Linked DNA regions of Drosophila melanogaster. The protein of the gene in region 2 interacts with the protein of the main gene of each other region in a pairwise test. Each region holds a gene or a part of one and is shown on either strand. Other genes may lie near its edges. The genes, in order: e(y)3 and Hr3.

Evidence for each region.
Region 1: the proteins of Hr3 (region 2) and e(y)3 interact in a two-hybrid assay, tested with the Drosophila melanogaster proteins (one study listed by BioGRID).

Annotation. Positions count from the first base shown.
Region 1 is NC_004354.4:19,624,881-19,641,161, forward strand, and holds e(y)3 (enhancer of yellow 3), read right to left. Parts: upstream 13,490-16,281; 5' UTR 12,493-13,489; exon of another isoform or gene 11,972-12,492; intron 11,590-11,971; 5' UTR 11,558-11,589; coding exon 9,254-11,557; intron 9,207-9,253; coding exon of another isoform or gene 9,192-9,206; coding exon 8,090-9,191; intron 8,044-8,089; coding exon 7,757-8,043; intron 6,187-7,756; coding exon 6,086-6,186; intron 6,021-6,085; coding exon 5,865-6,020; intron 5,807-5,864; coding exon 5,357-5,806; intron 5,270-5,356; coding exon 4,994-5,269; intron 4,934-4,993; coding exon 4,636-4,933; intron 4,481-4,635; coding exon 4,270-4,480; intron 4,212-4,269; coding exon 4,023-4,211; intron 3,884-4,022; coding exon 3,219-3,883; 3' UTR 3,087-3,218; downstream 1-3,086. Other genes in the region: CG14212 (uncharacterized protein), read left to right, coding at 858-1,646; Rcd-1 (required for cell differentiation 1), read left to right, coding at 14,430-14,513, 14,566-14,940, 15,016-15,210, 15,268-15,359, 15,422-15,590. UniProt on the Drosophila melanogaster protein: Essential transcription regulator during early development. Coactivates transcription of some euchromatin genes and repress transcription in of euchromatin genes translocated to heterochromatin.
Region 2 is NT_033778.4:10,225,822-10,242,167, forward strand, and holds the start of Hr3 (hormone receptor 3), read right to left. Parts: upstream 8,787-16,346; 5' UTR 8,392-8,786; coding exon of another isoform or gene 8,053-8,391; 5' UTR 7,491-8,052; coding exon of another isoform or gene 6,960-7,490; coding exon 6,203-6,959; intron 2,137-6,202; exon of another isoform or gene 1,502-2,136; intron 1-1,501. Other genes in the region: CG12912 (uncharacterized protein), read right to left, coding at 8,053-8,391; Hdc (histidine decarboxylase), read left to right, coding at 15,276-15,303, 15,850-16,346. UniProt on the Drosophila melanogaster protein: Putative receptor whose ligand is not yet known.

The DNA.
Region 1 (16,281 bases), on a different chromosome or scaffold from region 2:
AATTGGTCCCATTGCTGAATAGCTCCTCCACCAAGCTGAGATTTTTGAAACGCAAGCAGTTAGCTTAGTTAGTTCCCTCTTGGGAATCCGATCTCGTATCGGATATAAACTGATTGCCAGGTTTACAATATCAAAACTTCCGCGCGAAGCAAACGTAATTTAATCACAAACTAACTTCGGATTCCATTTGGTCAGTCAGTAAATATTTACTCAATTCTTAAGAATAAGAAATAATCACAGAGTATCTCATCCGATCGCAACATTGATATGTGAATCCCCAAAAGCTGAAAGAGATACGTTGATTGTTTCCAGTAGTGGTATATGGTATATTGTTTCATTTTATATAGTTAGCCAATGAATTCGCCCATGTAGCTAAATTATACACTTACTTATGTACGTGCGATATAGTGCACCCATATTTGTTGGAAGCCATACAAGTATGTATATTGATCTTTGCTGTTCCATATGCATTTGCATAGCTTTTTGCATGTTACCAACACACACACACACACACAAACTATGAATGTATTTTAGATATTTAAACCTTTTTGGAAAATATTTTATGCAACGGAAAACGAAACAACATTTTTCAATGACAATATCTAAAACTTATGCGATATACATACATATAATACACACATTATATTATAATTACAACATTGTCGGCCAAACGGACACGTCGGTCGCATGGTCGATGGAACGAAGATCCCCCCCAGCTTCCATGGGACTTCGTGCACCTTCGGATATTGGCGCTACCTTATCGATATTGATGTGCTTTGTTCACCCATATCTACTGTACTGTTTAAACGAGTGTGTGCATTGATATTAAAGTCAAATTGTTTGTTTTCCACACCAAAATGTTTGCAATTTCGAGAAGCCTCCGGTTGAGCCGTTGCCTTTCGCCCTTCGGACGCGGTCTGAGCGCATCCAGTTCGCCTGGACCGCGCACCCTAGTCGCCATCGACTTCGACAGGACCATCGTTGAGCAGGACTCCTATTTGGCGGTGAGCCAACTACTGCCGACCAGTCAGCGCAAGGAGCTGCAGGACCAGATCCCCAAGTGCGGCTGGCTGAGCTTCATAAGCCAAGTGTTGCAGCGCCTGCATGGCGAGCACAAGGTGAACTCCGCGTCGGTGGGCAAGCGTGTGCGCAGTCTCACAGCCGTGCCTGGAATGCTGCGGGTGATGCGCCAATTAGCCAGGATCCCTGAGCTCGAACTGTGCATCGTCAGCGACGCCAACTCCTTCTTCATCGGCGAGTGGCTGCAGGCGTACGCCATTGAGTGCCTCTTTGCCGGCGGCGTGTTCACCAATCCCGCATGCGTCCAAGCGAGCGGCGAACTGCTGGTGCTGCCCTACCAAGAGCAGACTGACTGCGATCTCTGCCCCTCCAACATGTGCAAGGGCTCCGTGATGGACGAGCTGACGTGCAGCGGGCGATACGAGCGCTTGATCTATGTGGGCGATAGTTGCAACGATCTGTGCGCCATTAAGCGGCTGCGGCAAAAGGATGTCGCCTGCATCCGGCGCGGATTCGAGCTGCACGGTAAGATGACCGCCCATGGCCAGGAACTGGCCTGCTCCGTGCTCACATGGCGCGACGGCCACGAGCTGGAGGAGCTCCTGATGCCCAAAATCGTGGCGTAGAGTTTGTGGTAAGGCCAGGTTATTAATGCTGCTGTTTTATTCGACTTAAAAATAAATCTTTCAGTATGTATACATAAGAATAATTCCACTTAATATGAAGGACTTAAGATTTACTTTTCGCATAAAGTGGATTACCCAGCTCTCTCCAGCCGAGGTTTGCAGCTGGGCCCGTCTGTGGATCCACTCTGTCTTAAGTAGATCGAAAACTTAGAGCTACCTATCCTGCGGCGGTATTAGAACTGTTGCCTAACAATATTTCACACATGGTTCTTCCACACTTCCACTTCCTCCTACCTAATCCTCGCTAGCCACATCTGTATCTGTTCTTGTGCTTTAATCTTATAGCTACAGCTAGTATATCTATATATATATATATATATATATATATGTATATATAAATATATATGTTTGTTTGTGTGTGTGTGTGGTGTGTGGGTCCGTTTGTTGTTGGGTTATGTGTTAGCATAAATTACATTTATAATACATTCTTAGCCATACGATTGCAGAGCGGCACCCGGCTCCCCGATCCTCGATCCACCGCCGAGCCAAGTCCCTACCCCGCTTACGAATCTACCGAATCTAAACTAAACGAATCGAAAAAAAAAAGGACAAGCAGCTACCGCACATGAAGACACTACTTAGGCTGTGCTTAACTACTTACATGGGCTAGAGGGCGTGGTTCTTATAAATACACACATATACATACATGTTCAAAAATTCGGCGCATAAGACGTTTAAAATCAAATATAATGTCTATAGAAAATACAGATGCACAGTGCGCACGGTGGCGGCTTAGACTTAGACTTGGCTGAGAAATAGAAATAGACACTATTTCGATTCAAAAGCAAACGGTAACACGAAACAGCTAGCCCTACCTACAGACGTGGACAAGACCCAACCCAGCGGGTGGACCAAGCCTCCAAGGACACGGGAATACAAACGAACAAAGCCGCACGGCCAGGACAGCTGGACAGCTGGACAGACAGCACTCTTTCCTCGGTTAAAAACGCAAGTGTACAAATCTGTTTTTGCGTGGGCGATTGCGCGCAATTGAACTAAAATGCGTCAAATGAATTCACTAGAAACAAATGAAGTTGTGACTTAGTGCTAGGCTATTCAACTTAGGCGTTAAAAAAGTCTTAAGCATAACGTGGTCTACTTGGTGTTCGGGGTGCGTGTCATGTGTGTGTGTGTGTTTGTGTGTGTTTATGCGGTCGTTTGGTTGTTAACATTAGCAAAGTTAAGTAACATAACTATAATAGGAATATTTATATGTATATATGTATAAAACACAATCAATACAATGCAGTACTGACAAATAAAGAATAATCGTAGTAAAAAAAAAACCTTAAATACTCTCTCCACTCTTAATCCATTCTCTTCCCCTTGTCGCATTCATTAATACTATGCATCTGTGTGTGGTTTTTTTTTTCTTATTTTCTTTTTTTGGGATGGCGGCTGTGCTCTGTGGTTACGACCACTTTGGAGGCGGCTTGGTAAAAGGGGCGGCGCGTCCGGCGCTTACTATAAGTCCGTTAGAGTACGCTTGGCACAATAACGTATGACCCCCACTCAGGCAACAACGGGCGGCGGAGCTATGCCTATTGGAGTGGCAGCGGGTGCTCCTGCGGCCGCCGTAGCCGTTCCCGTTGCAGTGACATTCGCCGCGTCCTCGGTGACTCCGTTCCCGCTGAAGTTGCTGCTGCTGCTGCTGCTGCACTGCATCGTTGTAATATTGACAGCATTACCCGCCTGCCGTCTGCCTATCGTTCCCGCAATATTTGTGGTCACCGTCGTCGCTTCAAGAACGGGCGGCAGCGATGCCACGGGCACAGCTGCCTTTGGACTCAGTGCCGCCGTTGGCGAAAGGGCGCGTCCTCCGTTGGTTGTCAGGCCGGGACTGGGCATCGGACTGTCATCCGTTTGCGCGGAAGTGGCCTCCAAGACAGGAGTAACTGCTGCCGCACCGGCCGCACCCGCCGCCGACTGCCGCTTGGCGGGCTTGTTTCGCGCACATGGTACGCAGAACATGGCGGCGTGCTCCCGGATCTTCGTCACATGATCGATGCGGTACTCGTGCACCCATTTCAAGCGCTTATTGCGCGCTGCCTTTGAGCGATCCCCGTTGGCCGACGGTCCTCCGGACGCCTGGGACAGAGCGGCCACCTGGGGCAGACCCTCCGGCTTGGTGGCCCCGCATCGCATGCAGAAACAGCAGCGCTCACAGCTCCAGCGCCCTGTAAGTTTTGTAAGAGGGATGTTTGTTAAGTAATCTAGTCTGTATATTTCAAATCATTCAATCGAACAATTTATGTATGTTATCCATGAGCAACTAACTCTCCAAATGGCTTTATAGACAAGCCACGAAGTACTTACCATCTGGGACTGTCCTGAGGCCCAAGCAGTAGATGTGGTAGCCTCGGTCGCACTGCTCGCAATAGAGCATCTTTCCTGGACGTTGGCTGCTACGGCACTTGATGCAGCATTTGCACCCGGCGCACTGCCAATTGTAGTTCCTCACGCGACCCACCATGCGCGGTGGCATATCAACGCAGCTGGGATGGACTGTGGGATGGCACTGATTTTAGGACGGAAGCGGAGCAAAGTATGGGGGACTACTTACCGCGCTTTCGGCATGTGTAACAGCGGATGAAAGCCTCCGGCATGTCCCTAGCATTGCGATGCTGACTGCGCAGACAGACGCCGCAGGTGGACAGCCTGACCGACGATGAGCACTCGTTCCCATCCTCGTCCTCGCTGCCTGCTCCACTTGAGGCACCCGTCGAACTGCTGCAGCTCGATGTGCTGCTAAAGTCGCTTTCATCGCCGCTTTCCTAAAATGCATAAGAATTGTTGGCGATTATTTCAACTGAAGCCCATAGTTATCAGAATGCAGACACCAGTGAACCAAATGTGATTCAATTTAACTCAATTCAATGTATTTCATCAAATCGAATGAATGTATCTCTATCCAAATCGCTCAAATTACCGTATCACTGCTGCTCCCGTTGCCGCTGGACGCGGATGAGACCGATTGAGCGGAGGACGTGCTGGAGCTGCTAGCCGTGCGAACCTTGTCCGTCTGCTGGCGTGTGGACCTTCTGCTGCGTCGGACGGGCGCCGTTACCGTTACGGATTTGATGGCGGACTGCTCTTGCCCCAGATCCTTGGGGGCCGGGGCGGACGTTTTGATTTCATCGCTGCCTACAGCTTCGGATTTTGCCTGTAGCAGCTGAGCCATCAGATCGGTCGGCGGCTTGTCCAGCGCCGTGTCCAGTGGGTAGGCTCTGTAAAAGTGAATTGTTAGTGACAGTGAAAATAATAGAGACACCACGACTGCGTCTTACCTGAGCTCGGCGGGCTCAAACTGGCGGTAGGCCATTGAGAACTGGTCCGGTACCACCGTGAGTGGATAAGCGTAGTCTGAGTTGCGGAAGGCCTCGTCATAGTCGCGGGGTGGCAGGAGATTAGGCGGTGCCGGGATATTCGCCTCTTCTGCCACTGCCCGTATCAAATCCGAAGTGGAGCGCTCTAGGCGTGTACAGGTGGGCGCGGTCCTTGGCTGCGGCTGATTTATCGTGAAGGTCTGCAGGTCCATGCAGGACTGGCGCTCATCCTTACGGCTGCATACAAGAGATTAGAAGGCATTAGCATTAGGAAGCTGCTCATTTACCAAATGCAACTGCTAGAAAGTATAGAAAGTAACTCACGACTTGTTGAAGTAAGCGTTCCACTTGGTGGCCGAAAGCATGGCACGGTCGCGAGCTTGCAGACCTCGTCCGGCCCCGACTGTGAGTCCTAGGGCCTTCTGCTTAGCCTCGATCTCGCGCAAATGCTTTCTGCGAATGTACTCCTTGTACTCTTCGTACTTGTCGAAAAAGTCCGCGTACATGATGTCCAATATGTCGGAGGCCCACACAGCGGTGATGCCCAGGTCGCACAACTTCTCGCTAACCAGCCCCTTCTCCTGCAGCCAATTGCGCTCCTCCATGTCGACCGATCGGCGTGGCAGATCCGGGTACTTGCGCTTAAAGCTGGTAATGCCCAGATAGAGCGCCACCTGCTCTTGAATCATGAAGGTGTCCCGATTCTTTGATGGGCAGCAACCTTTAGGCGGTGGCCAGTCGTACTCGGCGATGCTGGAGGCGCTGTAGTCGGTGCTGCAATTCAATAAAGTCTTAGACCTGCTACGTTATGAGTTCGTTAGAATGCACTTACTCTTCGGCCACGCAAGTTTCCATCTTCTTCTTCTTTGGACGTTTGAGAGCAGAACCCAGAATCGCGTCGGCGGACTGACCCTGGTTGGAGTCCATCATGCTCACATTGCTCACCATGGACGACTGTGACTCCTCGTTGTTGAGGAAGTCGGGTTGCCTGCAGACGAGAAAAGAATTTATTAATTACAATTTACAGTGGAAATGAACACATGGAAGACTCACTTCTGTGGCGTTAGCGGGGGTTCCATCAGGCTGGCCATCGACTGATTGCTGTTGCTAAGATCGGCGCTCATACGCGTGTCCTCCTCAAACACTTGCGGCGACTAAAGAAGAATTAGGGCGGTAGGTAATTAGGAATCATGAATTCAAAGGACATTGCGATCTAACGTATACCTTATATATGTATATATGTATGTATGTACATACATATACATACATATTTCAATTCGTAGTCTAGGACATAACAGTTCATTCTCATAGAACGGTAGGAATAATTATACGATTGGTACTTAACTTACTTTTACTTAGAATTGCCAATAGCAGAAGGAAACCCTGAAACCCTACGAAGTAAAAACTAACCATTTGTAAACACAGGGTAATTGCTCAACATGCATACATGCGTACATATGTACACATGTGCGCATAATTATTTATCCTTGCAATTTTTGGAAGCCATTGCTCTTTGCACATGTTTAAACGTGCAGCAGCGAAAACGGCGAGCGCAGAGTTGCCAGCTCTCAACGAAGTTCACATTCAAAGCCCCGCTGAGAGAGTGGGCAAGAGAGCAATCGAGAGTGAGAGCGAGTGCAGCAGCAGCAGGTGTGGTGAAGGTGGACTACTGTCAGCTCATTTACCCACACACATGCAAAGACACAAACACACACACGTGCGATTGGCGAGAGCCAAACAAAAACTTCAGCTGATTAAAATCGCAGGTGAAGCCAACAACAATCACAGCGGCTGCGCTGCTCAGTTCGCAGCTGCTTCCTTCGCCGCTCCCCCCCTTAACCGGCACGCCACACGCCCCCAATAGCTAATGCAGCAGCGGCTCGCTTGGCTTTATTGTTGTTGTTGGCTGTGCACTTACACTAGGCCGTTGGCAATGAATTCGCGACATGGCGCGCGCCTTTTTTTAATTACGACACGTTAGCCCTCAGTGTGTGTGAGAGTTTGGGTAAGTGGGCAAGATTTACGTAATGAAACATAAACAAGAAGGCAATGTAATACAAATTGTAAAGCCCGGTAGAAGCCCTAACTGTACTGACCATCTTCAACACGATGCCCCATATCCGATGTCCGTTACTGCGAGAACTAACGAGATCTCGAGCCGCACCATCACTCGTTACTGCTGCTCGGTCTCGTTAGTTTAAAATAACATGCAAACAGCCCCATTTCAAAAGGTGACTCCAATTCAAGGATCTACGATTCTCTTATCCAGCGACAAAGTTTGGCGCATTTATTATATTTTTAGTTTAGCCAACTAGTCGCCGTCTTCTAAATATTCGCGCCACTTTTCGACGAGTCGCTCTCGATACTTGGTTATGAGAGAATAAGTGTGGTATTATTTGCAGTTTTCGAAACAAGTGGAACCAGTTAGGTCCTAATTCCAGTTGCCCCCCATTAACATAACTAAATATGTTGCAAATATATATATAAATGTTTTACTAAAGTATATAAAATACGCTCCTTCCTAGGCTATTCATATTCGCACCCATTTTTAGAGAAATGAAAATCCCTAAAGCTAAGCACTCATCAAATGGCTTTGGCGAATTGCTAAGTAGTTTTGCAAAATTAACAAAAACATACGCAACTTGATCCCACTTAATATAACAATGTTTACTTTACCATAAGCATAACGATTACCTTTACCAAGCATAAACGAAGACCACTTACCGGACTGAACAAGCCTTTAAGTCTCTCGGGATCGGGCTGGTGCTTGAGGCCGCCCACGCATCGTGGTCGACTCATGGCGATGGCCTTTGCTACGGCACTTGCTCCTCGGCTCATTCGCGGGGCCCTAGGCTGCGTGGCGGGCGTTGTGGAGGCTGTGCCTCCGACGCTGACAGCCCGATCCACCGAAGAAGATCCTCTACCGCGGCCTCCCCTGGATCGCCGGCCACGACCACGTCCCCGCGTGGGGGGCATAGGCAACGCAGTTTCGTCTGAAGAGGAAGAGTTTACTTTTGGTTACTTGAAGTTTTAAAGGATTTAACAAAACTTTCTTACCTCCGGAATTGTCCAGCGCGCTGGTGTAGTTGTCCTCGTCGTGACAGTCCGGCTGGCTACCGCCGGTACTGCCACAGCTGATGCTTGAGGGGCGCGAGGAGCGCAGCTGCTGGGTGGCCATGATAGAGGAGAAGTCATTTGGCTGGAAGATGACATCGGGCAGCGGATCCGAAGAAGACAGAATCGTCGTCGGAGGTAGCATCGAGCTGCTGCCACTTCCACCGATCACCTGCTGGTTGGCGGCAGCGCCAGAGGAGGTCGACGAACTGGACGAGCACATTGTGAGGTCGATCTGCGCGCTCAGGGCAAAGGATATGCTGCTATTATTGTTGTTGTTGGACTCGGACTCCGAACTACCGAACTGAGCCATCGTCGGCGGCGGCAACTGGCTTTGTTGGACACTGGCCTTGCTCTGGCGCTTCCTTGTGGACTTGGGCGTGGGCTGCAGGTTGGTGTTTGTGCTGGTCGTGGTGCGGCGCGTGGCTCTCAGGGGGCGATGGTCGCGAGTCTTTGGAGATTCCAGAGTTTCGGCAAGCCCGTCTTCAACTCTTGCATTTGGCACGCCCACAGACGACTCCTTTTCCTTAGCTTTCATGTCCGCCTGCTCTTGGCCCACGCTCACCATGTCGATGGCCAGTCGCTTGCGCAGCAGTTGTACGCGACGCGACTTGACAGCGCTGTTGGCCTCCTCCTGTGGAGTGCCGGGTTTGGGAGTAACTGCACCTCCACCATCCGGCGAGCTCTGGTTTTGGATACGCTTCGGCCGCCCACGCTTCTTGCCCGTTCCTGCCGGCGTCGCTACCGGTGGGGGCTGAGGCGTCGCCGGTTCTAGCGGATCTTGCGCCTTTGCGTCCTCGCCTTCGACCTCCGAGGACAAGGCTCCATTTTGATCCGGCGTTGAAATCGACTGCTGTTGGGTGGGTGGAAAAAGCGAACCCTCCAGATCTGTGTTCAGGATTCGCTCGTGCTTCTGCTTGCGCGAGCGATGTGACGGCGGAAGCGCCTGCAGTGATTCACTGCACTTTCTGGCGGGATCGTGGCAATTCTGCGTCTGCTGGTCGTTCTCGTCGTTGTCCAGACGTCGCTGTTTGCTGGGAGGGAGCTGCGAAAAGAAAAACTACTGTCACGGTACAATTGGTTATAAATAAATAAGCGACAACGTACTCTACTGCTGGGAGATTCGTTTCCCTCGCTGTTAGTGCGTTTCAAGTGGTTCTCGTTGTTGTTGTCCTGGGTATCCATACGCTGTTCCACTCCGTGATCCATTGCGAGCTTGTGAATAGTTTGGAGATGTTTGTTGAGCATCGGGTTAGAATCCTCGTCCATGTAGGCTACCCTCGGGCTGCCATCAGGCGTGTCCAGGATTTCAATGGACTCGATTATGGATTGGGCGGGATTCGCGGCGGGCAAGGGACCAACGACTGCCTCGCTTTCTGCAGCAATAACAGATCCCCCACCGGTACCGCTTCCATTCGCCATCAGGCGCTCCGTTAGCTGGGGATACTTGCTGGATTTGCTTTTAGGCGTGGTCGTTGTGAAGCTTTTAGCCGGTGCCGTCAGCTGGCTAAGCAATATGTTCGAATTGGGCGACGCAGCTGGCCTAACGCGACTGTCGGCCTCCTCGGGCACATAACAGCCGATCGCAGTTTGCATCCGCAGGCAGTCGATGAGCAACCCTTTCGGCGAAATGCGTCCCGTGAAGTTGTTAGGCACATGCGTTGGCGAAGAGCCCGGCGACGGTGACGAGGTCAGGTCCACCATGTCCACAACGTTGTGCTGGGATTGGGCAGACTTGCTGGCTTTACTGGCCTTACTCCCACCGCTGGCTATGCCGTTGCTGGCGGGCATGGGCGGTAGATTGTGAAAAATCTTGGGATCGTGCTCCTTGGAGAGCGAATCGTCGATCACCATGTCGTCCGAATTGCGGCGAACGTCGTCCGAGGCTGGCGCAGCTATATCTGCGTCTGGGTCGGAGAAGCCGCAGAATTCCTGACTACTGCTGTTCGACTCGCCGCCATTCGTCATGGGAGCCGGCGTGGGATTGGGCGTGGGTTTTGGGATAGCCAGCTTGGAGGCCGCCGTTGGTGGCTTCTCCTCGAGCACTGCACGCACCTTGTGCTTCGGTGAGCATAAGTTCTTGATGGTCAGCTTGGGCAGCGGCTGCAATTGCTGCTCCAGCTTAGCCGCCTGTTCGTCCTCGATCATCTCTATGGATTTGGTTTTAATGGTGAGTTTGGGGATGCTCTGGGCGTTGTTTAGGTCGTGCGTCATTATGACCGTGTGCACGTGCTCCTGACCGCCGCCACCTGTCTTGATTGTTAACTTTGGTATCTGCTGCTGCTGCTGCGGAAGCTCCTCACTGCTGCTGATGCAGCTACTACCGGCTAGCGTTGTCTTGATCATCAGCTTGGGCACCGTCTGCATCTCCGCCAGTGAGGACGACGACGACGATGAGGAGGAGGACGAGGCAGATGAAGACGAGGCGGATGCGGGCGAGAGGCTGGACAGGTGGGCATCGTTCTTGGCGGGCATAGCTGACTGGGCGCCACTCACAGCTGCTGAGCACGATCCAGAGTTGGAGTTGGAGCCGGAAGCAGCCGGATTCTCAGGCAACTTGATGGTCAGCTTAGGCACCACGCTGCCTACGCGCCTCTCGTTCGCGGCGCGGATGGTCAGCTTTGGCACAATGTGCGGGGTGTTTCGTAGTTGTTGGCCGAGGGTGGTAGCCACCTCGTCCTCGGCGCACGACGAGGAGCAGGAAGAGGCGTCCGCATCGAAGGCATCTTGCTGCTTCGCAACCAAGCCTCCTTCCGCTCCGCCGCAGGGCAGCTGAATGCGCAGGGGCTCCACGCGCCTCTCATCTCCGCCCGGCTGAGATTCATTTGCGTTTGAGTTGGGATTGGCGTGCTTGGAGAGCTTCAGGATGATCTTATGTCCATCCCGCTCCTCGCTCTCTACCTCAAGCGCCGTAGCGGCCATCGGTCCACCTGCTGCTCCCGCTGCTGATGCTGCTGATGGTGCTTCTCCGGATGCTGAGCTGGCCGATGCAGATGCTCCAGTTGTGCTTGGGGCATCGTCGCACGGCGTCGTCGGCGGTGGCAGCGTCGGCGGAGGCGACGCTGTGGTGCTGGTTATATGGCCGGGCTGATTATGCTGGTGCTGCAGTGCCTCCTCCCGCTGCTGCTGCTGCTGTGGCTCTGGCTCCTGTTCCCGGTCCCGATCTGCATTCAGCTGCTGATCCCGCTGGGCTGGCGACGACGTGGAGCTAACTCGCTGCTCCTCCTCGCTCGTGCTGCTCGCTGCCACTGACTTGGCGTTGCTATTAGCGCTACAGTTAGACTGGGGGCGACCTGCTGCTCCGGCTGATCCTGCTGTGGACGTGGCGGCTGCCGATTCTACCGCTGTTCCCGATTCCGATCCTGATGACGATGTCGCTGCTACCATCTGCTGCTGACGTAAATCATTCATTGCTATATTCGATTGTCCAGTGGGCCGCCAGCCTGCAAAAAGAAGTGGACGATACTTTAGATCAGGGTGCATGATAGCAGTCGATAAGATTCGGGACTTTCAACAACTAATTCTTAAATTTGCATGTGAAATCAATCCTAAAGAAAACCGCCAATACAGCATATAATAATGCGTATAATTGCCGCTCCAAGGGATGCATTTTGTTTACACTAAAAAGAGACAATTTGAAAAGGGGAACGACCTACAGACACACACACCCACAAATACACTCATACATACATACATACATATATGTACATTTGTACATACACACTTATTGGAGCCCAATGAAAGAATAAAATTGAATGAAAGCCGGGTAGAGTTACGAACTAATTATAGCACATGTCTAAACAATTAAACCGTATTTGTAAATACCGAAGGACGCGCAGGTTTAAACAGTCGCCAGCCGAAAATTCCGATGAAAATGCAATACGATTTTCCGGCGCTGAAAAACTACCGCTCGAAATTGCCGCGAAAAACTTCAAGCGAAATAAACACAAGAAGAACCACGGCGAGGGCAACAACAACAACACTTAATAAATAATAAGCGCTGCAAACATGCGCACACAGCTGTCGACTGGGGGAGAACGTGAAAAGGCAGGAGGAAGATGAGGATGAAGCGGAATGGCTATGGCGTTGAGCGCAGAGGAGCGCAGCGAAGCAGCGGGATAGGCAAATACTGAGAAAGCCGCGCCGCCACGAATTATGGCCTGTTTGTTACTGGTGTGTGCTGGCAACACTGACGCGAATTCACCACGCTGGCGGCCAAATCCACCACAAGCAGTCGATGCCGCTGCATGGAGAAAATCCACACACACACACACACATACGAAGGAGCACGACACGCACACACTCATATGGGTTGGTTGCCCTGGCCTGCGTATATGTATGCTTACATTTCTACTGGCCAAATGCAAGCATCTATCTATCTGCACTAGGACTAATATTATTGTGAGCACGATTTTAGAGCGCAATATCGACAGCCAGTGCACTGGCAACAAAATTAGCAACAACGACGCCGCCGCCAAAGCCCTGACCCAACACCACCACTACAACCACTACCACTACCAATACCAACGACAACAACAATAACGAACGGGGCAAAGAAGAAGCAGCAACGACAAGCAAACGGCAAACTCACCATGCGGCAAAGTCGTCGCTCAGAGACAGACAAAAGAAGATGGTGGAGTAGAAGAGCGCCTGCTTTTGATTTGCGTGCACAATTCGCGATTGCGATTTGGATTTGCTATTTCGTTTGCCTTTGCCTTTGCTGGCATTGGCATGCTCATATTTCTATGCACTTTGATTGATGCTGCGCGACGCCGTGCGGCAATTTTCTTTTTTAGGCGTTCGGCGTTGTTGGGCGAGAAGTAAAACACATTTTTCCATACGATTCAATGCGATTTCGAAGCACGGGCAACACTCGACTCTCGGCCGCAGTAGGCACTACTCGCACGCACACATCGGCGGTGCACACGCATGCACACACACACACACAACAGCAACAGAACGGCACACACACACACACGCTCAGTCGTACGCACACAAAGGCAGCGACACAGAGACAAGCGCAACGAGCTCTCTCAGTCGCCGTTGTCCCACTTTCCGTGTATTGGTTTCGATTCGTACACTTTTCCACGCACTTTTAACGATTCAAATTCGATGGTACAGAAGGCAGGGCGACACGAGAGTGCATTGGAAACTGGCGCAAACCTCAAAAAAATATATCCAACACGCTGGCCGCACGCACGACTCGTATGCAGACTGGTTCTCGGCGCGCGTCGAACGTTCTTATGCATTCATTATTGAACGGAATGCTCTGTTTCGCCTGTCTGCTTATGTTTTTTTCTTTTCGATTCCGAGGTACTCGTCACGACAAATGAAAATCAGTGTGGCCGTTTTGCGGCTGTCAGCTAGATACCCGGCTGGCGGGGAATGTGCTAAGAAATACCACAAAATCGACGGGGATAGCCGGGATACAAACCAGTCGGTGCACTTGACTACCGCTAAATGCGTCTTTACTAAATTGCATTTTTAGCTTTTAGCATGCAAATTATGAACTATAACCTAATTAAAATACCCATTATGGTTATTACTTTTGATCAATGTAATCATCGGTCATTCGCAATCACGCGCTCACGTCCATTCATTATTTCTTTGCAATGTCATCCTTTTTCAAAGATATCAAGCCTATTTTCTTCAAAATTGTAGACTTTTGCATTTTGCACCAACAAAGCATGCGCAAGCAGTTGTATTTGGCAAATCATGTTTGATTTCATTCAGACTTTGTGTTTTCGTACGGCGGGAAGTTTCTCTGAAAATTTAAATTTATGTACATATTTACATCGACGCTGGAAAACAAATAGCGCGCTTGCGTTTCACCAATTTCCAGCGGCATTTGCGCGGTTCTGGCCACACTGTTCGGCACACAACATAATCCTGGTTGTCGCCACTTGTTTTCGATCATTTTAGACTTAAACCAATGCAAAAGGAATTTCCTGCTAACGTTATCGATAATCGCAATAGACGCCAAATCGCCAGTTTTACCTCTTCCTTTTTCGCAGGCCCCGTTCCGTTCAGCGAATTCTCGCCCGAGCTAAGTCTATTGCAAGCGTCCGGCTATAGAAATCGACGACAAATCGCTAGTTCCACCTCTTCCTTTTCGCAGGCCCCATTCCGTTCAGCGAACTCTCGCCCGATCTAAGCGTCCGGCGATAGGAATCCACCTCTTCCTTTTCGCAGGTCCCGTTCCGTTCAGCGAGTTCTCGCCGACACTAAGTGCATTGCAAGCGTCCGGCGACAGTTCTTACCCAGATCTTGTCAAGTTAACACGATGAGTGCTCAACCGAGTCCGCATATGAATCCTCAGCAGCAGCAGCAGCAGCAACAGCAGCAGCAGCAGACCGAGCAGGAGAAGGTAAGCCGATGTCGGCAAGAACGCGTGCTAGCTTTAACTTATCGCCCGCCAGGTGTACCAGTGGATCAATGAGCTGGCCCATCCGGACACGCGTGAAACCGCTCTGCTCGAGCTAAGCAAGAAGCGTGAGACGGACCTGGCCCCCATGCTGTGGAACAGCTTCGGGACCGCCTGCGCCCTGTTGCAGGAGATTGTTAACATCTACCCATCGATAACGCCGCCCACTTTGACGGCCCACCAGTCGAACCGCGTGTGCAACGCCCTGGCGCTGCTGCAGTGCGTCGCCTCGCACCCGGAGACTCGCACGGCCTTCCTGCAGGCCCAGATACCGCTGTACTTGTACCCTTTCTTGTCGACCACGTCCAAGACCAGGCCCTTCGAGTACTTGCGCCTGACCAGTTTGGGCGTGATTGGTGCTCTGGTCAAGGTAGGTTAAGCCGAAGGCCAGTGGTCATCTAATGCACTAATGCACTTGTTGTCTTCTTATTACTGCTATCGACAGACCGACGAACAGGAGGTGATCACCTTTCTGCTGACCACCGAGATCGTGCCCCTTTGTCTGAGCATCATGGACAGCGGATCGGAGCTGAGCAAGACTGTGGCCACTTTCATCATCCAGAAGATCCTGCTCGATGAGTCGGGTCTGTCGTACATCTGCCAGACCTACGAACGCTTTTCGCACGTGGCCATCACCCTGGTGAGTGTCCGTTTCCCGAAGCCTTATGCATTGTCTAAGGGTCTTTATCGATTTCAGGGCAAAATGGTCATCCAGCTGGCGAAGGATCCATGCGCCCGGCTGTTGAAGCATGTGGTGCGCTGCTATCTGCGTCTTTCGGACAATACACGGTAAGTCTTGGCGGGCGAGTAAATTATCGCTCGGCTTTTCAGTCTAGCCTTGACTCTTTCAGCGCTCGCAAGGCCCTGGGACAGTGTCTGCCCGATCAGCTGCGTGACGGCACCTTTGCGCTGTGCCTGCAAGAGGACAAGTCGACCAAGCAGTGGCTGCAGATGCTGCTCAAGAACCTGGAACTCGGCGCCACTCCGCAGCAGATCGGCATGTCGCCACTGGGCTCCTAGGGAGTGGAAGCGACAGCACACCCAGCACTATATTATCAATTCTAACGTCCAACCATCGATGATGAATAATCCACGCTGTTAATTACATAGCTGCTCGACCGAATATACATAAACATGCATACATACATACATACATATTTCATAAGCGTGCACGAGATTGCCTGTGTCGACTTAAGCGGAGCTGTAATATACCTACATAAATTACAAATAAATTAATGTTAATACTAAGATTGTCACTGACACCCAATAAAGAACCTCGAGCAGACGATACGATATAAATATTTATGCGTGTTTGTTTTTTTTTTTAATATCAATATTCTAACAGAGGATATTAACAATCCCGCAAAAGTTCATAATCATCTTTTCGCTGCATACTTTTGGGCTACTGTCCGGATTTGCTATATTTGCTATTTGCTGTGTATATTTGATAGTAGGGGGTGTCCCCGAACGAATCTTATAGGTTCTATATACATATGTAAGTTCTGACCATCACAATCAATCACTCTACTGAATGCAAATGGCTCATCCTGCGAGGTGTGTAAACAAAAGTCGAGAAAATTGCGCAGAAAGCGCATCTGCTGCTATCCCCGTCCCGCTCCTGGCCACGCAGCTGGCATGCTGCTGTCCCGCTCTAGGTCGCGTGGTGTGCACCAAGAGCACCCAGTGCTCCAGACCAGCCCAGCCCAACCCA
Region 2 (16,346 bases):
AGTAAATATTTGCTATTTGTTTTTTTATCTCATCATTGGTATGAAGTCAATAAATTGTATCTAATATGGGGTTCTTATGCATGGCTTTGTATTTAAACAAAAAAGGTGGAAAATTAGTTTCACAAAATAAAAATTTTGATAGCTCAGGACGAAAACAGCGGAAATTATTTTCTCTGTGTGTAACACAAGTTGTTGTTGTTGCTGGGGTGGCACACTTATGGGGCGACACATGCAGTGAGCACGTGTGTGTGTGTGTGTGTGCTTAGCAATGTTGTTCCACTAACGGTAATGCAAACAGTCGACTAAACAGGCAGGAGGAGCCGCAGCAGAACCGAGGGAACCGGAGGCGCAGAGTGGGTGGTGCTGGCGACGACCGACTTTGCTCCGCTGTGAACTCGCCTGAACTGGAAAGTCGGTGCAAGTACTCGTACTGCCGCCTCTAAACTGCTTCTAACGACAACAATAACAATTGTTGATAATCATAAGTTGCCACAATGGACACAGACAGAAAACTGCAGCGCCAACAAAGGGCCACAAGCTGTGGACAAGAAAAGGGCATATCATCACGGCTTTGTGCCCGGAGATTCGGGCTCCACAGATCTCCGCGGAGGATGGAGCAGAACGGCAAAGACAATGGACCCCAAAGAATTGCCCGAGCAGCAGATACTCGGAACGGAGCCCTATGAAAAATTGCAAAAGCCTTTTAGCTGACAGTTCGCCTAAGTTGGTCGAAAATGGGGTTGTTAATTGGGGGATACTGCCTTGTATATATGGGATGCCAAGTAAGCTGGATAATCGTTGTTGGAACTACGAAACCATAATTCAAGAATCTGAACTTTTGAAAGCACTTAACACACATTTTATTGTCCTAAAGCTTAGTTTCAAATGAATTTGAAACTCAGATGGATTCAACAATGTGTCATCAAGTTTTAATCCGTTTTAATCATTGATTATTTTAAAGGAACGGAAGGAAATCGTAACTCTTCTACTTTTTCATTTTATTTTATCTCGAAACCTAAAAAAACATTGATTTGTAGACTTTGAGCAAGTTACATTTTGAAACAATGTTTTCATTATTAGAGATGAAATCTAAGTCCAGCTTGTAGCTCAGCGATTGGAAACAAAAATATCGAAGCATTCAATTAAATTTCATCGCCTTGCATTTACTTATTGCAGTTTTAGACACGTGTTCTTAATAAACCCCCCAAGTTCTAACAAATACTTATAGAAACGAACGAGCCTAAACGATGCCATAAATTTCCTTTCCCAATCATCAAATTCCCGATCGTGTGATATATCCGAAAACTGGTGGTTAGCCATCTAATTAGAGGCAAATAGATTATTCCAATAAATTATCCAATTTGCGGGCGATGAAGGCGGCTTTCGCCGTGTTGCGATGAGGGATTTCCTCGATGGATTTTAAAATTTTTCGTTTTGTTTAACAATATTTATATATCCTTGTAGCACACACACACACACTCTTTCGTCACATTGCTCTTACACATACACGGAGATTGGCTTTGTTTTTGTTGCACAATGTCGTGGGGAGGCTGTGGGGGGGATTCTCCTGGTTTTTTTTCGGGAGTATTACGTCACTGGCACTTCCGTTTCCGTTTTTTTACTCGCGGAGAGAGGGCGCGCAATTGCAGTTGCAGTTGTAGGCACGATGTGGAATTTGAATGCACACGATATTGATTGATTGACTGGTACTGTATATAGCGATATATGTAGGCGTATCCTATGATTTTGTTTTGATCTGAAACCGAACAAACTTCATCTGCCGCCGCATGTTGCAAGGCCTTAATTTATCATATTTTACTATTATTTTTTTTAACACACTGGCACACACTCGCGCTTCGTAGTTTTGCCTTTTGAGTAAATTTGCTTTTTGTGGGCTTTTTTCCCGGCTGAGTGGGGGTGGTGAGGCGTTTTGGGGGATTTGGGGGGCAAAACGCATAGGCACACGCACACACACACGCACACGCACGGCGCACACACACGAGCGATGGGAAATGAAAACGGTACAGAGTATAAACAACAACAACAAATAATTAATAATAAAGATACAACGCGCCACGCATCGTAACCCGCCGCCGCGAAACGCTCAATACGAGGTGTAGCTGAAGAGTGCCGCAAAATGTTATCGACTGTTCGTTGTCGTCGTGCCGCGGCAGCGACGCCGGCGGCGCAGCAGCAGCGCCGCAATGCGGCAGCAGAGCTCGGGCTCCCCAAAAGCAAAAGAGCGGGAGACAGCGAGAGAGCGCAAGAGAGAGAAGTGGGTATATGTGTCTCTGTGCCGATGACTTCTTCAGTTCGCTGCCCCAAGCCCCCGCCCCGCTGCCACCATCACACCCACTTTTGCCTCGTCCGCTTTGTGCCGTTCATTCGCTATGGCAACCGCTCGGCGAAGAAAAGAGTCATAATCAGCTGTTATCTCTGCTCTCTCTCTTTTTACACCCCGTGGCTTTCTTCGTCTAAGAGAGAGGGTGGCAGAGAAAGAGAGGGAGCTTTTGGCGCTTCCTTCGATTAGCAGGTCAATTGCTTTTTAGGCCAAAATGTGTGCACTGCAGTTGCGAGCAATTTAATTGCATTTCTTACTTTTGCCCCGCCGACTGGCCAAATTGTTTCCCATCCTTTTTCGGGGCGGAAGTGGCAATTGCACCTAAATTATACCGCTTTAGTCCTGCCGACAAGCTTTTAATGATTGAAAAGGCTTGAGACTCTTAAGCTGCGCTGATACAATTATTTTATTAACTATGAATAAGTGGGCTTATACGTTTGAGGTTTTAAAATCATGTTAAGTGAGAGCTGTGTAAAAATATGTGATATTTGTTTTAATACGATCATTTCGCCATAAGGTAGGCACACGCTTTTCCATTAGGCCAGTGGCAATAGACGGTATCATATAGTCTTTTTTACTTATATTACTATTTTAGAGCTAAATTGCTACAAACTAAAAAGAATATTTTTATATTTTTCAACCTAATATATTGGCATGTTAATGTTGCAGTAATGCATAAATTAATTTATATTGAATGGTGCATCCGCTATAGGTTTCCTTCACTCAAGTATATTAATCTCTGATTCTGATTATAACGGACTAACTAGCATTAAAAATTCACACTTTTATAATAAAACTTGCAGTTCATAACATAGCACTGCAAACAATGCACGCGGGATTTCAGTTCTTAGACAATGAAGGCAAAAAAAACTGGGTTAAGTCCCAGAGTGATGAATTTTTTATGGATTTATTTTTATTAATTTTATAAATATTCAAGCCATTACGTGTGGCACAAACAAATTTAGAAATCCAAAAAATCACCGAACAGTCAAGGTGAACTGCACACGGAGTTTGTGCTGGCCAATTAAAAATGTTAAAATTAGTTTAAGTCATTTGGCAACTTGCTTTCGAAGTTTGCCAAAATGAAAAGCGAACCACAATATCAAAATAAAAAAGTAAATTTCCATGTAAATGTTGAAAACAAAAAAGAAAAAACATCGCTCAAGTTATAAATTAATATTTCGTTTACGATAATTTATGTATTTTCGTTGACGTCCAATACTAAAACCATTAGCTTTGCATCTCGCAGATACAAAGATACATGTGTGTGCGCATAATTGGAATTTCGCATAGACGGGAAAGAGATGAGCTGATTACGAAATCGCCGGGCAATATCGATGAAGTTTGGCAAAATCGAAAATATGATAATGAAACTTCGCCACGCTCGATTGAAGACGAAATCTCATGCGGCGCTGACCTGGCTAATAGCCACAGATCCAGGTCCAGACGACCAGGTCGGTCAATAAGCCGAAGATTCATGCATGAAATGCAAAGCGTTGTCCAACAAAATTATAATGAACCTGGCTCCGATTCATATGGGAAATTACAACAACAAACACCGCCAATATATGCCCCATCGCAAAAGTGATAGTGCGAAGCTATATATCTCGTAATCCGCCAGTTGCAACATCTACGACGACGGCGACAACGGCGCCGAACTGCCAAAGTCCATCGACCACGTTCAGGGTCGTCTCATCTGCAGAAAGGTTCGGATGAAGAAAACCTTTATGTTTTAGCTCTGCATTTTTTTTCTTTTTTTTTTACGCCAACTACCATTATGTGGGCTAATCATTGTCAAATCCGCTTGTGTTGGGGGGCTCTGAACGGGTTTTCAAAACCATTTGAATCATTTGGAAAATTTCACGTGATGGGTACTTTACAAATCGATAATTTCAAAAATTCCCTTGAAATGTACACTAATGTTTTAAAGATATTTCAAATATTAATTTGTGGGAAAAAGTTTACTATGAAATGTTGGTAATAACATGTCACTTTTCTAATAATATGATTGTAATATGTAAGATTAGAAATAGTTTTTAGGAAGTACAAAAAGTATAGGCGAACAAGTCGAAATCATCTAGAATTTTAGACATATAGGAATATTATATCCAAACCGATACAAATCCCGTTTCACCTCTAGTCAAAATAAAACTATAAAAGATTGTTCATTAGATTTGCAGATCGATCATTCAGCTTCTGGAATTGGGAGAGCAGTTAATCTCAGAAACAAATCGATTGATCTGTTCCTTGAACGTCATGTCTGTTCTAGCAGGTACAGCAATTAGGCAACAACGATTCATCGCCTCGATCATCAATCATGAGACTAGAAAATCCGACATATTTGGCCACCGCCCCAGCCCGCTAATGAGCCATGCAAGTGGATACGGCGGCCCCCAGCGCCAAGATATCAACAGAAAACTATAAAATATAGATCAATCTTGGCCAAAACTGTAGGGCTTCTGCATGAGAAGTCGTGTCAGTGGCTGACACTCATTTGTAGTCATCAAGTGAACCGAGTCGAGGGAGCAGACTCGAACTCGCTGGCCCGGGGCGCTGCCAAATCAATTTTTCAGCTTAGCCGCCCCGCGCCCTAAGCCCGTTCGCTGCTCGGCTGCTTACACTGAAAAAAAAAAACAAGGTAACCTTCAATAATAAAATGTCCTAAAGCAAAGCATAATGCATGAGCAGAAGATAGAACAAATTTAAATTATTTACACAAAGTGTTCTTATAGAGATTATTTTAGTTTCTAGACTGGACTAACACTTCAGCCCCTTTTTTTCAGTGTAAAAACGTTCATTCTGTTCTAGCCAGCTTGAGTTTCGCTCTCAGTCCGTTTGAGCCTTCATTCAGGTAACTGTATAGTTTGTAGTTGACGTTTTTACCGCTAAGGTTCGTGCTACGGTAAAAATATGAGGGGCCGAGCAGAAGAACGGTGGTGGCGTTTGCTGCTGTGCCGCAACAGCAGTAAAGCGAATATGCCGAGGCAGGGAGAATCGCAGAAACAGCTAACAGAACCTAATGATAAAGAACGCCATCTAGACTTGGCCAAAAGCTAGTCAGCCTAGCAGCGGCTTATTTAGTATGTCAAAACATGTTTTTGTTGCTGCCTTCTTACTGTATGTGTGTTGGTTGTTGCTGTTGCTGTTGCCGCTGTTTGTTGACTATGGAAAGTGGGCCACATGGCCGTAGCTGTTGGTGTTGCTGCTTTGCTGCGGCGGCTGCTGCTGCTGCTGCTGCAGCCACACAAAGGTGAATAGCCAATAAATCGAGGCTTGTAAATTGAAATTCTTTTTAGCACGGGGTGTGTACACCGTGCAATGTACACCCAGTGCACCTGTTGTTGCAGTTGCTGCTGCTAGTGTTGCTGCCGCTACTGCTGATGTGTTGCTGATGTGTCAGCCTGTTAATTGCCGCTGCCTGGGATGCTTGCGCAATGGGCGAGCGTTCATTTGCATAGCTCGGATTCTGGCGTGGAATGGGGAAGGGGGAAGGGGGAGGGGATCTGGGGGATATGGGTGCGATTATCTGAACCATCGCTGATCGTTGGTGGTCGCTCTGGGCGAGTGCTCACTGTGCTGTGGTTAGCCGGCGGTTGTTCGCAACAAGTGGAATTCTTGCCGAGTTTTCTGGGGTGCGAACTCATCACTCGCGGGAATCCTTGACTTAAGGTCTTTCAAATATTTGCTACAATCACTCACAATGGCTTAGTAAAATTCTTTAACGTTTGTTAAGAGCAAGAGTGACGAAGAACATTGCTTTTGCATATGAAGATATATTATTGGTAGATATATTATCGTCTCGAACAGTATATATATTCCCAAATTGACTAAAATATAATTGAGAGTTGCACTGGAACATACCTGTCATGGCTCCATTACTGCCGCTGCTGCTGCTGCTGTGCTCTCTGCTGTTTTCTCTGGCCGATGTTGCTGTTGCACTTGCTGTTGCTGCTGATGTTGCTGCGGCTGCAGATGTTGCTGATGTTGCTGTTGTTGTGGCAGCGGGCTTGTGAGTCGTGAGCGGTGGCATTGGTGGAGGAGTTCGCTCCTTTGTGCGTTTTAGGGAGCCCTCCTGGCTGGTATTGCTGGCCATGTTCTTGCACACGGAACTGATATTGCTGATGCTGCTAAAGCTGCTGAGACTGCTGAAGCTGCTGGAGCGTGCCAATGCCGGTGGATCCGATAGGAATTTCACCTGCTGCTGCTGCTGTTGCTGCTGCTGTTGTGGCCGCGACTGTGCTGGCCTGGTGGTCGCCAATCTCTTGGGCGCCGGAGGCTCTGGTTCAGTCTCATCCTCGGGCTCGCCCTCCGCCTTTAGCTCAGCCTCGAGCTCGTTTTCCAAGTCCGGCTGCACGGTGGCTATGATGGTGCCGTCCTCGTTGGCCTGCTCGAAGCAGACGTCCAGCAAGGTGGCTCCGCCACCGGCCTGTAGGCCGGCAATATCCTTGAGATCTATCCAACTGGCGCCCAGCTTATCAGCATCGCTGAGGGGCAAGCTCAGTACTCTCGTGTCGCCCTCGTCCACGATGTGGAAGGATTGCGTGGGCTCGATCTTGACGATGATGGGCTGGTTGGCCAGGATTTGGGCGGGTGGCGCACTGCCCAGCAAACTGGCCATGTTCTCCTCCTCCTCGTCGGCGGCCTCCAGTTCGCTGAGCTGCTGCTCGATCTGCAGGTAGGTATTACTGCTGGAGTTGGCTGCCACACCCGACTGCTGCTTCAGTACGTCCAGTTTGAGGACCGTGCACTTGTCGGTCTGCTGGTACTGGTGCTGCTGCTGGGGTCGTGGCAGCAGTGTCAGGGCGGGAGCACCCGATGTTCCAGAACCTTCCGTTATAAAGGCCAATGGTGGAGACGTGCCCGTGGATTTGGTGGACACACTCCGCGACGACTGGATCAGCTGGGGCAGTGCTGGCGGTGCTCCTCCACTGCCGCCAGTGCCAGAGGCACCGCTACCACTGCGTGCCACAATGGTGGTCGAGACGGGCAGCGGGATTATTGAGATGGAGGGCACCTTGCTGCGCAGATTGGCCACCGCCGCTGCTGTGGCGGCATCGGTGCCGATATACGTTGGACCACCGCTGGAGGATTTGCTGCCGCCGGCGGGCTTGGCCTGCTGTATCAGCAGGAGATCTCTGGGCCTATCCGTTGTGGCGGCCGTTTACTCACAAAGGCTCTCAAATGTCCGGATTTCGCCTTCGCTTAAAACACTAAACACTCACACTTTCACTTGGTTCATTGCTTGAATTTCTTGGGTTCTTTTATGCTTGTATTTGTTACTTGTTATATTTGGTTTTTTTTTTGGGTGTAGAAGCACAACATCGAAATAAATTGAAAATCAGCCTTACGAAAGTGCACTTAAAAAATTGTCGACTAAACAAGTTCATTCATACTGCATTGCCTCGATTGCTTGTCAATTGGTGTAGATACCCCAGAGGGGGTGGCCTAATGAGGGGCTGAGGGTTCGAAAAGGGGGGGGAGTGGGCTTTTAGGGGCGTAGTGGGGTCTGCAGATGCACCTGTGCGTTTCGTTTCGTTCGGTTCGTTTTTGGTTCGTTTTGCAGCTGGAAATACGCGTCGTATACTTAACGTAACTTTGTGCGATGCATAGAGTTCGACATTCCGATTAATGCTTTCCACTTGTGTTGGTTTTTGAGTAAATTTTGGGCTAGTCTTTTCGGTTTTGGGTTGTGTTTAACTTTACTTTACTGCCTAATATGCAGCAATTGTTGCTGTGCTTCGGTGACTGAGCCTGCTTCTGTATCTGTGTCCTCCGCGTTTGCCTGTGGTCGTTGTCATCCTCGTTTTCGTATCCTGCTGCTGCTGCTGTTGTTGCTGCTGTTGCTGTTGCTGCTGCTGCTGCTGCTGATGTTGCTGCTGCTGTTGCTGTTGCTGCTGCACATGCAACGCGTCGCCGCTGGATGGCTGCAAGGCTGCGCTGCAGCATTCGGTAGTGTCAGCGCCATTGGAACCCGACCACGTCAAAACAGTTGGAAGTGTGCCTCTGGATCTGGATGTGGATGTGCCAATGTTGCTGTTGATTTCCCACATCGCGGCACGCAACCCTATGCAACCACCACCCCAAGCACCACCTCCATCCTCACGGCAACAACAACCACCAGCTGTGTGGAAAGTGGCTTTAATAATCGATTTTTCAGCGGCACACTTGCGAATCAATATTTGGCAAACAGGAGCAGCGCTGCAGCTTTCCCTTTTCCTAATCGGATTTCTATCCCTTTAGCTTCGATATTAATTAAGCACTGTGTTCAATTTTGTTTCACTTTTGGCTGGTTTGTGGATTTCACTGTTTCAATATTTGTATTTTCACTTTCAGAGATTTGTGGCTAAATGCACCGCGCGCGTTTTTTTGTGACTCCTTTTTGTCGATTTTGCGAAGCAGCTGACCGGAGCTGCGTCCTTTACAGGAATGTGTCCCAAATTCGAGTGCCACAAACACAGTTCGTTCTGCCGCTGCACAAACTTTCCGTTTCGTGGGGGTTGCGCCTCAGTTTCTGGGAAAAGGAAAATCCGAGTGTGTGTGTGCGTGTGTATCCGCATGCAAGTTGAAAAATGGGACTCGCTGCGAACTGCTGCGAAAATAGGGTTAGTAGGCATAATGCCAAGTGCATAGCCAGGAAAAACTGGAAGCCACAACACGAAGGAAAACGAGCACAGTCGAACGAACGTTTGTTGCGCAGCTTTTCCACCCCTAAAACTCTCAGTGGGGGCGGGGGCGGGCTAAGGGCCAGGAAAATTCCCGTCGTGGTGATAAAGCGTCATGGGAAATTTCTGCACGCTCGAGGTGGAAATTCCAAGGGCGGAAAATTTTGAATGAGTCTTCTGGGCTTGACTTTCGACATTTACTCAACTAACAACTGAAACTGCCATTTATAATATTTGTAAAAATTCATAAAATTAGTTAATAAAAAATCAACTATGATATATATTTTTATATATACATGTTTAAAAAGAAACATATTTGGTAAACAAATATTTTCTTTTGTTATGCATTTAAATAGTGCATAAGATATGTAATTCATGGTTAACCCCTCGTTTATAAACCAAATTTGTAGAACACGGATAAACTATAGATGCAGTAGTAAGTCATTATATATACGAAGTCTTGTCTACTACAAGCTGTGTAAAGATAATATACATGTATTTATAATTATATAGTATGTATATAAAAAGCTTTAAAGTGTCATAAATAGTATGAACATTGGCACATATATATTTTTAAATGAGTCATAAAATGCGCATTTTTAGTGCTCTCAAAACTACAAGAATGCACTAAAATGTTAAGCTCGCTAATTAAAGCTGCCAATGCCAATTTGGGCAAAAACCAATCAAAGAACAGCTATGACCACAATGACCCTCGAGTCAAGAATGCCCAAAAAAAGGGGCGAACCGAGAACATCTCGGCCATTGGCCAACAGACGGGGCAAATTTGAACTAATCGCCCAACTGGGCCCCAGCCCAACCGATCGGATCGAGCCATCATTAGGGCGGGGAGGGGAGTGGGGGAATTGGGTGGCATAGGGCCAAACTTCTTATAGAGGAGGGTCGATGATGGCGAACGGAGCGACCACCGTTAGGACGGATTCGGATTCTGATTCGGAGCCAAGACTCAAGCATCGGCATTAATATTTCATGTTTTTCCGTTGCTTAAATCATGTTAGATTTATTCTGCGCCGCATTCAGCTGCCGCTTGCGCAACAACAATCAAGAGCTAACTGGTAACTGGTAACTGGTTGGTGGTTCTGCCAACCAGCTTACTAGCAGCTTGCAGCTAAACTTGGCTAAAACACCGTTGGTTCTAACGTGAACGCGAAATGTGTGCCTCACCGTTGTAAACTTCTTGCGGCGGCTGTTGCCTCATCATCTATTGCAAGTCTGTGCCGATTCTAACCTGTTTTCTCTGCAGAAACTCTCCGAAAAAGTCCCGTAAGAAAGTCCCAGTTATTCAAGAGGAAAAACCTGTTACACGCAACTGGCTCAGAGAGCTGATTGCCAAGAAAATGGAGACGGAGAAAAGCAAAGAACAGAACAGAATCAAAAAGAAGCCAGCGTATAGCCACAATAGCAGCAGAAACAGCAAACACGTTAGTACCGTTGCCTCGGATTCTTTGTTGCGCAACTGTGTTGCAAGATTAGCTGCGACTTCCAACTGGTTTATTGCAGCCCCACTGTCGATGAGGCAACAGTTGGCCGGGCCATTACTGTTGTTCTGCCTTGAAGATGTGGTAAAATCTTTTGGCTAGAATCGGAAATCCAACGGCGAGACTGGCGGAGGTGCTGCATTGCATGTCTTGCAGCTTGACTGCATATCCCATCCATTTGTTTGCGGCTATTGAAAGCCGTTGCCTTTTATAATCAATTAGGTTTTTTTTTTTAACTTTTCGCCAGCCTAATGATTCCAATAGTCGCCTATAGCCAGGCAAGGCTGATTTTTGAGGCGAAATATCACCAACCAACTATTTTGATTACCAGAGAAACTCTGTTTCAAAACTAGCAAACTCATAAGACCTTTAGCAAATCTATTACAATGCTTGAAAACAATTTATGGAATTATTTGTCATCGTGTTTGGTTCTAAAGAGAATTAAGACCCTATTCAAGTTATATTCTATATAAAATTATTTTTTTAATTCCCTCTTTGTTAAAATTTGATCCTTTTCAAAAGTATTATGTATTCCATTCCTTAATTATAAAATCATCTAGACATAAATCGATTTATTGTAAGAACTTAAATATATCCAATAGTTAATAAAGCTTAATATTTTAGGAATATCATAGCTACTCGTGGTCTTATGTTTAGTACTCCCCATTCTCACTAACCTCTGATGGTGCTGGGCATGTTATCCGGGTTAAGCAATCTCATCAATGGACATGGACTTTCGTTCAGACACCCAAATCGGATCAGATCAGTGTCAAGGCCTTGAACTCATCTCCCGGCCATGAGATCATAATAGCGATCGTAAAATCGGCGAATTAGTTCGAGTCCCAGTATTGTTCTCGGATCAAATAGTTTTCAAACGGCGAAGTTAGCCGGCGAAGGCGATGATGAAGCCGGCGGAGTGGAACGGATCAGAAAGGAGAGCAAGCGTAATCGGGACTGGTAGCGATCCGATGAGAGAGCCCGGAATCCGAGTGGACTGGACTGGACGTGGGGACAAACGATTGCACACTAAATGGCCAGAGACCGAGTCAAAGACCCGTTGCATCCGATGATCATGATCGCGCTCATCATCGTGGTCATCATCCTCTGCATCGGCGGTGGAATCATCATCCTCTGGCGGGAACCTGTGTGCGGAGGCGAGTGGGAAACCAAGCAAGCTCCAAAAAGAAACAGAAACAGAAGCTCAGCCGAGAAAGGAGAAAGGAGCTGCAAGATGTTCCCACCTCACACACGCACGCGCTCACCAACACACCTGCAGAAGGGGCGCTCACCACAATTCCTGCTAATTAAATGCGTGATCACTGCCCAAAAATAATCGCGCAGCAACCGAAAAGCTACAGTCCCGCCTTCCTACAAAGGATTTTATAGAAGTCATTCAATAAAAAGTACACCAAAGCAAAAAAAGATTTCTGACATTTAATCATTTTTAAAATTCGTCAAAATAATGATATATTTGCATGTGAAGTTTAAATAGGCTTATAGAAAAACCGATTAGCTTTTCTTTGAATAAAATTTTCCATGGTATCTTTTAAAAATAACAAAGTTTTAAAACCCCTACAGCATGAGAAGAGAAGATATAAAATACTATACTAAAATATCGATTTATGGAAGTTGGCCTGTATGGGCTGGTAACAAATACACATGCCAGCGGAGTCAAGCGTGCATTTCATCAGAGATGGGATGTCCGAAAGTCCGAGAGTCTGACTGTTATTCCCAATGATACACGTAGTGCTCGGTACGAAGAGTTGGGGACCGAAGCCCGTGACGTTGCTCGGCAAGTATCTGTGTATCTTTGGGGCCCGTCATCGGATCGCAGCGCGCTCAGTTGCACCTTTAATCGCTGAGCAAACAGGAAGACTTCTACGGCAAACACACACACATGCCCACTCGCACACACACTCGCGCTGTGGGATGAAAAGGGGAAAGGCGTAAGAGGGGAAAAACAGGTTGAGAAGTACCGCTAAGCAGAGGCCCCAACTTTCCGAGGTCAACGAACGTTCTTAGCGCTCAAGAATGAAGGAATCAAAACACACCAAAAAATACAGAGCGAAGAAAAGAGAGCGAGAGAGGTGCTGAGAGAGAGTAAAGAAAGCACAAAGAGAGAGAAAGCCAAGCGATCGACTTAAGAGCGCGACAGGTAAGCGCTGCAACCAAAACCAAGAGAGCCAATCCGAATACGAAGAGAAAGAAGACAGTATCTTTTATTGTGTTTTTGTATGCACATGCACTTTTGAAACGAATTTATCTGTTGCCCACAGCTAAATGAAAAAGCTCACAAATTGTGTATTTTTAGCCGCAGATTTAAAAGAACAAAAAGGGAGAGAGCGGAACAAAAGCCGCATTGTAACTGTCTGTCTCATGACCAAAAGAAACCGAAATTCTTATTCTTATTGCTCAATATTTGGTAATACACACTCATGGATACAGATATAGATACAACTACAGATACATGTGCATTCGACGTGCAAAAGCCATTCAATGTAGCGGTATTTTGTCGAAATTTCCTGAGTCTCGAGACGAGTACAAAGCTCATTGACCTCATGCTCTCCCTCTTTCTTTCTTCTCTCTTGTGCCTTCTGCCCCATTCCCTTGTAACAAGTGTGTAATGAGCGGGGAGGGGGGACTGATTTGCTGTTTCTGATATTTTTTGGCGTTTTAAGACGGGCTTCCAGCCAACATAAGATTCGAACATTTTCGGCTTTTATGCCTTCCTGTGCGACTCTTCATATTCTTCGTTTTCCCTGGGGAATTTCGTTTAAATCTGGCCAGATGGGGTATTTATCAGTAAGCCCACACAACTTAGAAAATGAGGGACGTATTTAGCTGGCAGCCTGTTGATGCCATTTGCGTCTACTGCAATCCGATTGGTCAGTGGATTTGTTTCCCTACCGAAGGACACCTCTTTCCATTGGCTGTTGCTTCCCCCTCTCTCTCTCCCACTCTCTTTCATCCTGCGTCGTGCTCAATGTCCTTTTGTATTTAAACCGCCTGTTGCCGATTTATATGCTCTTTCTCTTTGAAAGGAAGTATTCGTAACCAAAAAGATAACACATTCATAAAAATGTTGATAACTACACGTAATACTTTTAAGCTCTTGACGTTTTGTGACTCATTGCCTCTATATTTCATAATGAATAAGAAAAATTACATTAAATTATCAATTTATTTTTAAAAGTTATTCATTTTAAGAAGCCCGAATTTTAAATAAATATATACTTATATAATAATATATATATTAGAAATAATAAAACTTATAAAATAATAAATATATAATCATTACAGTAAAGACTTTTAGGAAGACATCCTAGAAGAGTATTCAAAGTTGTGCACCAATGCAAACGCTTTGCTCTAAGCTTATTGTTGTCATCACCCATTTTAGGAAAATAGCCATCCTGCTGTTTAATAGCAATTTCATTTGGATAGTCCTTCGTTTTTGCATCGGAGAACAAACAGTATCCGGGTATAAATAGGTCCTGTTTGAGTCCGATTCCATTCAGTTGGACTTTGATTCGAGTCCTGTGCGTGTCAAATTGAAATCTATTGTAATTGTGCGTATATAACTTGGTAGTAAAATATTCCCGAAATATATAAAAAATTTTGAAATACTATAATTATTGTCCAGAAGATTTTTAAATAAGTGTTTGAAGAAAGTGTTTAGCTTAATCTCAATATATTTATTATAATAAAATTATTTTAAGTATATAAATAAAAACTAATATCTGCTGTAAATGATTAATAGCCATATAAAATGTAACCAGATTATCTTGTAGTTGTTTGAATTTTCTGTGATAATTTCTAATGAATGCTAACATATTTTTTAAATTCCCTCGTTATTTACAAATGCTTAAAAAGCCACAATGTTGCTGTTCTATGACTATCAACATTATTTGTGAAACGGCAAATATTTAATTCGATTTCGATCGATGAATTTCAGTTCATGTTTCCATCGTTCTAAATGCATGACAAAATGCAGTTGGAGTATGGGTGCACACACTGCAGATCGTTACAGATATAGTTAATTTGCGGTATTTAAAATATAATCAAGCAATGCAAGTCAGCAAGCATAAACAATTAGAGGGTGCTTTCCAATTTAAACGGAATTTTGTTGGAAATCAGCTGGCAATCCGAGCGCATCCCCCTTGGTTACACCCCTAATGTCGTGCTGCCTATGGGATGGCCAATTAGGGAGCTCCGTGTGTTCCAACAACTTGCCAACACATCCCACAGCCAGATCGGATTTGTAGTGCAGCCAACAAGCTAATTGGTTCCGGCCAGGTCTATAAAAGCCCGGCGCTATCCCAAAAGCCCTAGTTATAGGATAAATATTATCACGGCCGCAATTAGGTAACCATCCATCGGATTCGAACCCTTCCAGTGCCCGAGGTGCACCAACTAGGTGTTTTCACAGCTGTTAGCGTTTTCATAGCTTTTCCAAGCGCTTTTCTTGTCATTTCCATTTCCAGCGAACGCCAGAAGCCCCACAACATCGGAAGTGCACAAGTTTCTATTCCATTATATTGTTCTCCGTTGTTTTTTTTTTACTATTTCCCACCAGCGGTCAGACGGTTGACGTTCCCAATTCGGCATTTCAATTTGGCATACGTCCCCGAAAAATGGAGCTAGCCTAGCCAGAGTCCAACAGGATTAGGCCAAACTCATTGCGAAACGAAACGCCTGAAGATACATCTACAAGCCGTGATTGCGTGCGACAATTGCACAGTATTTACGTCAGCATCGGTTAAGTGAGGCGATTGCACCATGGACTTCAAGGAATACCGCCAAAGGGGTGAGTACTGTCCAAATCTGGGCCATAAAATGCACAGCGGCAGACGCGTGTAAGTAAATACCGGATGGAAATCCCATCCAAAGGTCACCACCATATACAATATATTTGATTGGCCCAAGGCGGATTTGTCCCGGCCGTTTGTCTTCGTTCCATGGCCTGTAATTGAAATCCCACACACGGAGAAAATCCCAGCAATGCAGTATCATATTTTCAAATCAATTTTCATTGACATTTTCGAGCTTACATGGCTGCTTTTGTTTAAAGCGTGTGGCAATTATTTATTAGATACTTTAGCTGAACAACTAAATAATTGCAATTGTAAGTTAATTACACACACGTGGTTAACATAATCTACGAATTGTTAGTATATTACATCTATATCCCTTTTGGTTTTATTAACACTTTAACACCTTTCCTAGTCATTAATAATTGTGTACTTTTATTCTAATTAAAATAATTAAATATTTTAAAAAATATTCTATATTAATTAGGGACAAAGACTAAGCAAAATCGCTTGAACTGTATTAAAGTACATTTTATTTACAGGCAAGGAGATGGTCGACTATATTGCAGACTATTTGGAGAACATCCGGGAACGCCGAGTTTTTCCGGATGTCAGTCCGGGCTATATGCGCCAGTTACTGCCGGAGTCCGCTCCGATCGAAGGTGAACCGTGGCCGAAAATATTCTCGGATGTGGAGCGAATCGTGATGCCGGGCATAACCCACTGGCAATCGCCCCACATGCACGCCTACTTTCCGGCCCTCAACTCCATGCCTTCCCTACTGGGCGACATGCTGGCGGATGCGATTAACTGCCTGGGATTCACCTGGGCGAGCTCGCCGGCCTGCACCGAGCTGGAGATCATAGTGATGAACTGGCTGGGCAAGATGATCGGTCTGCCGGATGCCTTTCTCCACCTGAGCTCCCAAAGTCAGGGCGGTGGAGTGCTGCAGACCACTGCCAGTGAAGCTACTCTAGTTTGTCTGCTGGCGGGACGGACTCGGGCTATTCAGCGATTCCATGAGCGACATCCTGGCTAT